Ovis aries: one gene and its partners. The protein of the gene in region 1 purifies or fractionates together with the protein of each later gene. This does not show direct contact. Links are inferred from orthologs where the notes say so. Each region holds a gene or a part of one and is shown in the gene's direction. Other genes may lie near its edges.

The links.
Region 2: the proteins of SNAP23 (region 1) and VAMP2 purify together in Homo sapiens (affinity purification with western blotting; 4 studies listed by BioGRID and IntAct, with this or other methods). This does not show direct contact. The link is inferred for Ovis aries from reciprocal best matches to the Homo sapiens genes SNAP23 and VAMP2.
Region 3: the proteins of SNAP23 (region 1) and STX6 purify together in Homo sapiens (affinity purification with mass spectrometry; 3 studies listed by BioGRID and IntAct, with this or other methods). This does not show direct contact. The link is inferred for Ovis aries from reciprocal best matches to the Homo sapiens genes SNAP23 and STX6.

The regions. Positions count from the first base shown.
Region 1 is NC_056060.1:36,077,185-36,080,832, forward strand, and holds part of SNAP23 (synaptosomal-associated protein 23), read left to right. Parts: intron 1-439; 5' UTR 440-486; coding exon 487-543; intron 544-1,107; coding exon 1,108-1,149; intron 1,150-1,550; coding exon 1,551-1,599; intron 1,600-2,311; coding exon 2,312-2,429; intron 2,430-3,648. UniProt on the Homo sapiens protein: Essential component of the high affinity receptor for the general membrane fusion machinery and an important regulator of transport vesicle docking and fusion.
Region 2 is NC_056064.1:27,613,948-27,617,695, reverse strand, and holds the start of VAMP2 (vesicle-associated membrane protein 2), read left to right. Parts: upstream 1-1,279; 5' UTR 1,280-1,381; coding exon 1,382-1,383; intron 1,384-1,887; coding exon 1,888-2,008; intron 2,009-2,474; coding exon 2,475-2,633; intron 2,634-2,726; coding exon 2,727-2,778; intron 2,779-3,340; coding exon 3,341-3,357; 3' UTR 3,358-3,748. UniProt on the Homo sapiens protein: Involved in the targeting and/or fusion of transport vesicles to their target membrane. Major SNARE protein of synaptic vesicles which mediates fusion of synaptic vesicles to release neurotransmitters.
Region 3 is NC_056065.1:61,536,544-61,540,291, reverse strand, and holds the start of STX6 (syntaxin-6), read left to right. Parts: upstream 1-1,551; 5' UTR 1,552-1,778; coding exon 1,779-1,813; intron 1,814-3,748. UniProt on the Homo sapiens protein: SNARE promoting movement of transport vesicles to target membranes. Targets endosomes to the trans-Golgi network, and may therefore function in retrograde trafficking.

The DNA.
Region 1 (3,648 bases):
TGCATTCCCACCAACAGTGTAAGAGGGTTGGTTCCCTTTTCTCCACACCTTATCCAGCATTTATTGCTTGTGGACTTTTGGATCGCAGCCATTCTGACTGGTGTGAAATGGTACCTCTCATTGTGGTCTTGATTTGCATTTCTCTGATATTTAATAGCTTCTTGAAGCTTGTGTTTTAATAATGCCTTCCTTCTCAAAGTAGAGGGACCACTTTCCTATTAGAAATAATGCTTCCCTGAAAGTCCTGAAACCTGAATTTTAGATTCAGCTCTAGTACTAGCTAACATTTGTTTACCATCTCTCAGTCTTAATTTCTTCACCGGTAAGATGTAGATAGATAGATAAAGTTAGGTTTATTTTATCGTGTTTTCTAGATAAGTATCCTAAATTCCACATTCTTTGCTCAAATAAGCTTGTTTTTGTGTTCTTATTCTTACAGAATATCCACATTTCAGTTTCTGCACCTATCAAGAATTTTAATTGACCATGGATAATCTGTCAGCAGAAGAAATTCAGCTGAGGGCTAACCAGGTTACTGATGAGGTAAAAGTTTTACTTGGAATAGGTCATTAATTCTCTTTCAATTTTCACAGTGGAAGCATGAGAGGACCTTCTTAGAAGACCATTTCGGCCTCTCCCTAGTCTGTTTATATCAAAGAATGCATTTGCCCTTGAGTGCCATTACTGCTAGTTTCTTATTTTGTCAGCTCATCAAAAAACTAAATAAGTGCAAACAATCTGTATGATTTTTTTTAAATAGTCATTACTGAATAGTAACTTAGAACGAAGATAGATATGAAGAATTCTGTTTGTTTAATTTTAACAAAATTTTCTAATATCTGTGTGATATCCCTGGATTTCTGCTACATTACATTTTTATAAATCCCATTAACTATACTCTTTCAAATTTTCTCTTAAGCATCTGGTAGAAATAAAATAATGAAAATTAAATTAGTAAACTTTATTTTTTGTTTTAAAGAAGGGAGGAATGGATGTGCTAGCAATCTTTAAAAATAAAGTAGCATCATGAATATGGCCTGTGATCAGATTTGGAGGGCGGGGATATGCTACATATTTTAGAATGCTAAAACTCTTTTTTTCTCCTAGTCTCTGGAAAGTACAAGGAGAATCCTGGGTTTAGCCATTGAGGTAAGAAAGTGTTTAATCATCAAGTTAAGTATAGAAACTGTATAGAAGGAATTCTGATAACACAGACTGGAATTAATATTGTATCAATAAGCTTTATTATTTGAAATCGGCAATTGTTGAAATTGTCAAACCATGCACTAATGGGCCTTTTTGGCTTTTCTAATTGATAGTATTGGAATATAACAGGGAAAACAATTCACCATGAGTTTGTGACTTAATTATTTGGCCGGGGTGGGGGGCTTAATATGTTAAGGTGTGTTGGTTTGGGGAGGTTAGTTTTTTTCTAATCCTCTGAGAACTTAAGTTTCTAATGTTTCTTCCTTGCTGTTTTTCAGACCTTGTACTTTTGTTTCTGTTGGTTTGGTTTGGTTGTACTATCAGCTTTTTTCCCCTTCTTTTAGTCGCAGGATGCAGGAATCAAGACTATCACTATGCTGGATGAACAAGGGGGTGAGTTGCAGTCATTGGCAGGAACTCTTGATTTGATTTAGAATGCCAGAAAGCCTTTTCAAATCAGCCACAGTTAAAATTAATTAAGCCTTTGGGAGTACCTTTCCTTTGTAAGATAAGAGTGATATTTTGCTTCTTTTCTTCTGATTTAATTTATATCATGTTTTGATGCCTATTTGGGGTGAGAGTCACAATATCCCATTGTCCACCAAGTATTTATTTATTAGGTAGCAGGGCTTATTGTGTGCACTGGTCATTTGTGTCCTGGACATTATGATATTCTTTCATAATTTTCAGAAATCAAGTTACATCCTTGTGGAATTAGAAACTTTGCATTTGATTTGGCCCTGAGCAATCTGGTCTAGTTTTTATTCATCTTAGGACAGTCTTTAGGTTTTGAGCCTATTCAGTAATAGAAATGCTAGGAATCTGGTCTAGTGAGGCCTACGCCAATCCTCAACATGCTCCTGTTATACACATTTCTTTAGAACAAATCTTTCCACATTCAGAGGCCAGATACCCTAGGATCAGTATGTGAAAGACTTTTAAATTCTGGACAGCATATAGTACCATCTGGCCCTGATATAGTCACTGTGATGAATTGTTTGTGGATTCGAGGTTAAAGTTTGCTCTTCCGTTATACTAATAATAGCACTTTCTGATTGGCAGCATGAATGTAACATAAAATTTAACTTCCACAACTTATTCTTAGAACAACTAAAACGCATAGAAGAAGGCATGGACCAAATAAACAAAGACATGAGAGAAGCAGAGAAGACTTTAACAGAACTCAACAAGTGCTGTGGCCTTTGTGTATGCCCATGTAGTAGGTGAGTTGATAAATCAAAATCTTTTTCAAATAAATCTAAAATGAGAGTATCACCTTCAGAACCCCCCTCTCATCCCCCAGGAAGTGTTCCAGGGCCTAAATAAAGAACTTGGTTAGATCAACTTAATCTCTTTCTCCTTCAGGCATATCAAACTTTTTATGTAAATAGGCACACTCACTGAAAACCATCACTTAAATTTGATCAATCTTTCAATCAAGTCCCAATTACATTTTAAATAATATGAAAAGGTTGGGAAATATCCATCTGGATAATACATAGCAGGATGAAATTAGTGTGTTTTTCCTTTCAAATAAGGAGAATTAATAAAACATATATTCTGTGGTAGGCACATGAGGGATGGCCAAGGAAATAAAGGACTTGGATCTTGGCATCAAAGGACTTAGCATGTGGTTGGATAAATGAGACAGAATAGCAGAAAGTAGAAGCTATAGAAATCTGGTGCTAGATCTATGATATCAGTGGAGGCCAAGGGTACAGAACTACTAAAAGTTAGTTTGGAGTTCATCTTATAGGAGAGAGTGGACTTGAGTTGGGCTCTGAATGATTAGAAAGATCTGGATGGGCCTGGCAAAAGTGGGAAGACATTTCCTGTGGAAGATTTAATGTAAATAAAGACTACAGAGGAGCCTGACTCAACTGTACTACATGATTCACATTGAGAAAAAGTGAAAAATAAGACATAAGTAGGCAGTAAAGGAACTTGAATGCCAGCCTAGGGGGTTGATTGATTGGAGTGGAGGATATAACTGCACACGAGGAGACCAGTTAGGAACCTTTTGTAAACTAGGCCTGTGAGCTGTAACCTTATCATTAAGATTAGAGAGAAAAGTATAAGTCGGATTCTCTTTAAATCAACTAAAAGAAAGAAAGTCAAGTCAAGTCTCTCAGTCATATCCAACTCTTTATGGCCCCATGGACTATAGCCTACCAAGTTCCTCTGTCCATGGAATTTTCCAGGCAAGAGTACTGGAGTGGGTGGGATCGAACCTGGGTCTCCTGCATTGCAGGCAGACCTTTACCAGCTGAGCCACCAGGGAAGCCAACTGATTATGTGTCAAATGTGAAGAAAGAAACATCAAAGAAGGCTGAGGATTTGAAGCCTCTAGTAAACTAGGAAATGAGAAGTCTTCAAATATTTGTGTATAGTGTATGAGATAATACTTGACAAAAAAAGAATTCATTCATTTTAGTGACTTTA
Region 2 (3,748 bases), on another chromosome or scaffold:
AAACCTTGCTGTTCCACATCTCCGAGTTTTGCTTGTCTCTTGCCTTCGCCACGGTTTCTATAACAGGGCCACTGGGCCTCATTCTTCACTCTTGAGGCTTGTCACAACCCACCGGACAGGCAGCTCATTTACACCCATCGCCTCCTTCCTGAGGGGCCACTCCTGCTGGAAAGAGCACGGTGGGTGGGTGAGAGATGCTGGGCCAGTTTAGACGACCTAAACAGAGACCAGGTGTGGAAAGGGCTGTGGATAATTCCCTACCATGTCTTACATCTAGACATTTAACAAATATAGGTATAGACTCGACACACCTAATACATTTTGGGTCTAGAGGTAGGACAGGAGCTGTTATGTCACACGCATGAGGCTAATCCTTAGGTAAAGTAGTACCAAGTCCCTGCGTACCGCAGGTGCCGCCCTTGCCCACTTACTCTCCATCCCGGTAAAGAAAAGCCAAAACAAAACAAAATAAAACAAAACAAAATGCGTAAGCCTTGTCCTTTAGCCCTGTGCCTGGGATCAGAGGTTGAGCCCTCTTCCGGCTGCCAGGGTAGCTACTCAACTCTGGGTCAGAGCTAGGTTTCTGCCAGTCTGAAGCCACCACATGAAGCGGCCCCACAGGGCAGCGTAGTGCCCTTCTCCCGGGTTCCCAAGCTTGCCCCACCTCAGACAGGCCTCGCCTGCCAAGGAACCCTGGTCTGAACCTCAGTTGCGAGGAGGGGGTTGCTATCACGGTTCCCAGACCTCCTTTTGGATAGCCACTCGCAAGGCAGAGGGTTGAGGATCAATTCCCACCACTCCCAGGATCCCAGCTATTCACACTGCCTCCGACCTGCACTTGCTCCTTCTGATTTCCAACCCCCCTGCTCCTTCCAAATGCTCAAGGCTGCTCAACCCGCACTGGGACGTGGGAGCAGGCTGGGACCTGGGGCTGCGTGGGGTGCGGACAGGTTGACGGCTTTCACCGAGGAGGAGGATGTGTTTGGGGCTGAAGGGCGCCTCAAGGGCCAGGCGGTGGGGGCAGGGGGACCGCGAGGACCTCGGGGAGGGCTGGGGTCAGACCCGGTGGGCTAGTGGTGGGTGTAGGGAGCCCTGCCACCAGGCTCAGGGTTCGCAGGCAGCGAGGGAGAGGCTGGGGCCAGGCGGCGCCGGACCCGCCACCTGGCAGGCCGCGATCCCCGCCCTCGGCGCCCCGCCCCCGCGGCCCGGCGGCCGACTAGTGGCCCGCCGCGCCCCGCCCCCGCCCGCAGTGCCCGGATGTGGGTGACGTGCGGCCGCCATCTTCCCGTCCCGGGCAGCCAGCGCCAGTCGGAGCCAGCTCGAGCCTCCGCTGCCGCCGCCATCACTGCCGCTGCCAAGTCCTCCGCCCGCTGCCCCCGCCATGTGAGTCGGCGCCCGCACCTGCACCGCCTGGCCGGCACTGGCCGCCGCCCTTAGGCCCAGGCCTGGGGAGGGCTCGGGGTTCGACTCGCGTCCCCCACGCGCCCCGCGTCCCGAGACCAGGCCGGCGCCTGTGACTGCGCGCGGGCATTAGGAGAGCCCCGCGTCCCGGGCTGGCCGCGCGGAGGCTGACCGCGAGAGGGGGCGGACTCCCCATCTGGCCGCTCCGCCTCTATCATCGCTGCTGGGTCCACCCCAGACCGTGTCTGTGAGGTCGCCCTCGTTTGACAGGCGGGGAAACTGAGGCCCGAGGGGGAGGGGGCCTCCCTCAAGGTCACGCAGCAGCTCGCCCGCGGGCCCGGACGGAGGCCAGGGCTCGCATCGAGTGGCTTTCTACCCGGCAAGAAGGAAGGGAGGGACGGATGGAGGGACAGGCGGATGGGCGGAGCCCTGGCTGCGGGGCCAAGGGCTGCAGGCCTTGGTTCTTAATCCGTCCCTGCCCCTCAGGTCGGCTACCGCTGCCACCGCCCCCCCTGCCGCCCCGGCTGGGGAGGGAGGCCCTCCTGCGCCCCCTCCAAACCTCACTAGTAACAGGAGACTGCAGCAGACCCAGGCCCAGGTGGATGAGGTGAGTGGAGGTGGTGGTGTCAGAAACAGTGGGAAGGACCCTGAGGGTTGACAAACCGACACGGGGGTCCATTTTGGGTTGGGGGGTGATGGCAGTTCATGTTTGGGTACGAAAATATACCATGGCCCGTCCTTGTCAGCGTGCAAGTATGGGAGGGCCCGTGGGGATGTTGGCCTGGCTAACCTGAGGTGTTTCACCCTGGGTGGATGCTCTGGTGAACGGAAGGCTGCTTGAGGCTCAGTAAATAAAGAGTGGTGCTGTGACATCTGAGCAGTGTGGATACCACATGCCCCTGCTGTGTGCTGCTTGCATTTCTCTGGTGTGCTAGGCATGTTCTGTATATGTCCTTGGCATGTTAGCCAGGCCACATGATGCCTGTTCCCTGTGTGAGCTCATGGTGTGTGGAGGAGTGCCCTTTGAGATGGACCTTGGCACACACACCGCTGCCTTGTGGGCCTTCCCTCAGGTGGTGGACATCATGAGGGTGAACGTAGACAAGGTTTTGGAGCGGGACCAGAAGCTGTCGGAGCTGGACGACCGTGCCGACGCCCTCCAGGCGGGGGCCTCCCAGTTTGAAACTAGTGCAGCCAAGCTCAAGCGCAAATACTGGTGGAAAAACCTCAAGGTAAGGGTGGAGGCAGGTGGGAGGACAGGGAGGAGGTGGGGGGTGAATGGGAGTATCCTGGTCTGTCTCACTGAGCCTCCCCCTCACCCCCAGATGATGATCATCCTGGGAGTGATTTGCGCCATCATCCTCATTATCATCATCGGTGAGTAGGGTGGGAGTGGCTAGGGCCCTTTCATGGAGAGGGTTCCCCTGCGGTTTCTGGGTTTTGAAGGTCATTAACCTAGATTTTAGTATTTAGGAAAAAGTATATATGGTTGCCAGTAGCAGTTCTGATTCATCTAGAGCCCCAAACCTTGAAGTTGTTTAGCTTGCACTTTGCCTGATTCTGGGCCATTTCTGTTAAGATTTTCAAAAACAGGAAGAGCATAATAGACTGGGAACCTGGAATTGGGGAGTGGGAGAGCAGCAGAGACTGAGGGGCTTGAGAAACAGCTGGGAAGCAAACCACCCCATTGTTTGAGAGCTGTGGTCTCAGAGGATTAGGGATCTGTGGCCCCAAGGCCATACCATGGAGTTGAGGAGATCTGGGAACCAATCTGTGTAGATTCCTTGCTTTACAGGTGAAGAACCTGAGGCCAAGAGGGGAAGGGATGTCACCTAGCTGGGAGGTGGGGAAGGTGGGAGCAGGGCTGGGCTGACACACTGCTTTCTCTCTTTCTCTTCCTCCCTTCTCCGTCTTCTTCCTTCTCTTTCCCTCTCCACAGTTTACTTCAGCTCTTAAACCCCTGAGGAGCCTGCCCTGCCCAGAGAAGGGCCTCTCCCCCCAACCCCCAGCCGCTCCTCCACCTCTCAGCCATATCTTCCAGCCCCATCTCCCCCGGATCCGTGTGTGTGTGTCGTGTGTGCGCCCCCTTGTAAATAGCCAGCTGTTATTTATACATATATAATATTATATATATTTGGTCTGTTTGTAGTTTTATTACTAGAAGATTTTTTCCAGTTGTCCTTAACACCCCTTCCTGAGGTTCTCATCACTTCCTTTTCCTCTTTCCCTCCTTCCCTTTCCCTCTCTTCTTGACCAACCCCAAGTCTCCTTCATTTGCATCTGCTATGCAATAGTCCCTCTTCCTCTCCTTCCCTTGGATTTAGCTGACCCTTCCTCCCACCCTGGC
Region 3 (3,748 bases), on another chromosome or scaffold:
CAACTATGACTCTTAATCTTTATTCTCATCTTCTCTGCAATTTCCATGTGTTTGTTGAATGAATGAAAAATGATTGATCCCTTTTGAGTTCCCCATCTCAATATGTTCAGAAGCAAAACAGTTCTCTTCCAACAGCTTCTTTTCCCCTACATCTGACCTCCTTCAGCTGCTCCTCCAGGGTCTCAGAGAAGCCTGGAGTCTGATTTTCACCTCTCTCCCCCTTAACCCCATTCAGCCTTTCACCACGTCTAGGTGTTTTTGTTTTTCCTTGGAAATACCTATCAGATTGTCTGCTTCCTCTCCATTTACAATTGCTCTGCTGTCCTATTCTGGTCCTCAGCCCTTCAGGCTGGATGACCACAGCAGCTTCCAGACTAGTTTCCCTGACTTCACTGCCTTACTTCCTTGGGGCCTTGGGGTTTCCGTGCATTTTTATTTAACCCTCACAACGATCCACAAGCTAAATATTATTGTGCACGCTTTATAGATGAGGGACTGAATAACAGAACTCAGGTTCAAACAGGATTTGTCTGGTTCAAAGGACTCTTCCATCTCCAAAAAGACTGGTACTTTAAGCAAGTCACTTAACCTGCAAGAGTCTCAGATTTCTCATTTGTAAAATGGGGATAACAACAGTAATTACCTCCTGAGAGCAACTGAGATAACACTCGCACAGTGCCTGACATACAGGAAGTGCTCAAAGATAATCAGCAATTAATGTTCACAAACCCCATAGCATATCTAGCATATGAATTTGATAACTGTTCTGACCAAAATACTTTTGGGAAGTGCTTTTGAACCATTTAGCTCAGAAGAAGTTGCCATATCTGGCCCCTCCTTTGTCCCTCAAAAGTTCTTTCTCCTGGGAAGCATCACATGCTGTATGAAAAAATTATCTTACTGGTCACTTCGAGAAAGGTACACAGCAATAGAAAACACAGCCGTCTGGTGGAAAGTGCACAGATTCTCTGATTGCCCTGTCCAGGTTGTATCTCGAAGCCTCTTTGAACTTTTCTCATCTACTAAATGGTAATAATACCTTCCCCCCAAGAATATTGAGATGATGTACATACAGCCTTCAGCGCATTGTTGGATATAGTAAGACCTACATAAAGTTGTGCAATATAGTCAGATAATGTATACGAGCAGGCTTTATTGTAAGTGGAGGACGAGATGGATTTCTAAATCAATATGTTTTCAAAATCAAGTATCAAAAGTAGAGGAAAGGTGAAAGAATTATGCAAAGGAGATACTAATGCATACCTAGGACACCTGAATGCCTTTCCCGCGTAGGGACAAGCAGCTCCGGCCCCTGAATCCTGAGGGGCGAGTGGAGAGAATACCCGCCCTCTTCCGCCGCCCCCAGAGCCCCGCCTCCAGGGTCGTGTGACAAGGTGCCTAGGACCCGGCAACGAGGGGCGGGGTCGGCAGTGATCACGTGTGCACGGGTGCGGAAGTGGTGCGGCGGATGGCGTTCGTGATTGGCCGAGGCTGAGGAACCTGGGGGCGGAGCCAGGCGGCCGGACGCTCCGGGAGGAGTCGGGGGAGGGTACAGCCGCGGGGCCGGCTCCAGAGTCTGGATTTGGTCTGCAGTGCCCATCGAGTGCTGGACCAGCGGCTGGCCGGTGCACCCCGCCCTGCGCGCGCAGAGGCTTCGGGACCCTCAGGCCGAGGCGCGGGCCGCTACGCGAGGCGCATAGGGTGGGCAGAGGGAAATTTGGAGGGCGCGGGCGCCCTGTGCGCGGAGCAAACGTGAGGCGGCCGGGGGCCGGGACGCCATGTCCATGGAGGACCCCTTCTTTGTGGTGAAAGGGTGAGTGTTGCCGAGGGCTCCACTGGAAGAGGCGGTGGCCGTGCTGCCTGCCCGCACCTCCCCGCCTCTCCTCGTTGTAGGGGGGATGGGAGGCAAGTAGAGGCTGGCGTGGGGACAGTGGGGACGGCTTAGCCTGGAGGGCCATGATCAAGTGTCCAGAGACCTCCCTTTCCCGTCCTACCTGAACTTTGAAACCCACGCCCCCAGTCAAGCCCCTGGGAAGGGGGTCCCCTTTGGCCTGTGCGCTGCCCTATAACTTGTTTGAACGGGAGGAGGGGTTCAGCATTTCTGCAGGTGGGAAGGGAGCTTAGGCGTCCCAGACCAAACTGGGGCTTTAGTGGAGCACGGGGCCCTGCTTCGAAGGGGGAAAAACAGCATCTGGGCAGGAAAAGGGAAATGGCCCTCCTGAGCTTTGTAGTTGGCGTAGACGGGGGTGAGCTCCTATTGTCCATTGAGTTCGGAGCGCTGGCCCCGCAGACTGGTGAGACCACAACATGCCCAGAGGCGTCTGAGCACGTTAGCAGGCTTGGAGGCGGGGGCGCCTGGCTCCGGAAGACGACTCAATTCAGTGGGGGAGTTTTTACTGAGTAATGGGAGGGGAGGAAAGCAGCCGTTCAAACTCAGTGATGATGTTGGAAGGAAAACAAAATGAAATCAGCCAAACTAAACTTTCCTTAGCTTTCTGTTAGCACTGGGTTTTTCCCACAGTGCTAAAGGAAATGAGCGCTTGCTTTTTAACTCCCTGATTTCATCCAGGCTGTTTGACAGGTTTCCCCCATTTCTTCCTCTGCCTTTCAGACTCGAATAGCCTTAAACTTATTTTTCTCTGTGAGCTGTCGTGACTCCATCTTTGATTGCTCAGTTGTTTGCAGATACCCAGAAACTTGGCACTCTGTTACATAGGCTTTGTAGCCATTAAACAAATTCAGGGAAGATGGATCTTGTTGTTACAACTTTTGTTTTAAATGTCAAACACGTTAAAAATTTGAGAACTGCAAAGTTCCTGAGAGATCAGTGCTAATCACCCTAAAGTACTGCTTTGCTTTCAGCTAGTTCCTAGCTCCCTATTTCTATTTCTGTAAGGGTAAAAGCTGACCAGTTGCTTGAGGGTGTATGTGATTTTTTTTTTTTTAAAGGTTCTTCTAAGAAAATTTAAGTGATACTCTAGGTGAAATACTTTATTATCCATGATACAGTAAGATACATTTATATATATTTTAACATTTCCCTAAATATTTTTGCCTTTACCTGACTTTAGGTGGGAAAATCTGAGTTTAGATGATTAATAATACATAGATCTCTACCTGGAAAATGTTATTAGAAGAATTGATTTTTTTTTAGGGGTTAATTTTTAAATGTGAAAGCTGTGTGTTTTTCCTTTAAACATTCTTAATTCTTAGGTTTCAAAGGTTATGTCTGGCAGTGGAGGCTGTAGATAATCAAAATTTTTTGTTTCATTTTAAAATGGAATTTGTGAAAATGCTAAATTGCTCTGCCATCTTGACTTTTTTTCCTGATAGTACAGTTTGCCAGGGCTTGCTCACTGATTAGATATCACTGCTTTATTGGAACATTGGTCAGGAGTCTTGTTTGACTTGTACATTGTTTTAGCTCATATCTTTAAGATATTAAAACCTTTTGCTATGGAGAAGTAAAATTAACTACATGTCTCCAGATAATGTGGTGAAATATATGGGGAGCCATGTACCTCTGTTTATTAAAAGTTTTGAAAATACACTCACTGCATGATGTGGAAAAATGAAAGAAGCCTAAATTGTGACCTTTAGCCTAGGAGCTGGTAGTCTAATCTGAGAAACAAGTCACCCAATAATTAAGTAGAAATGACTGGTGGAAATGGTTAAGTGCTGAAGTGAATCCTACAGATGATTAAGTCCCCTAGTAGTTTGGAGAAAGGCATCCCATTAGGACAGGTTA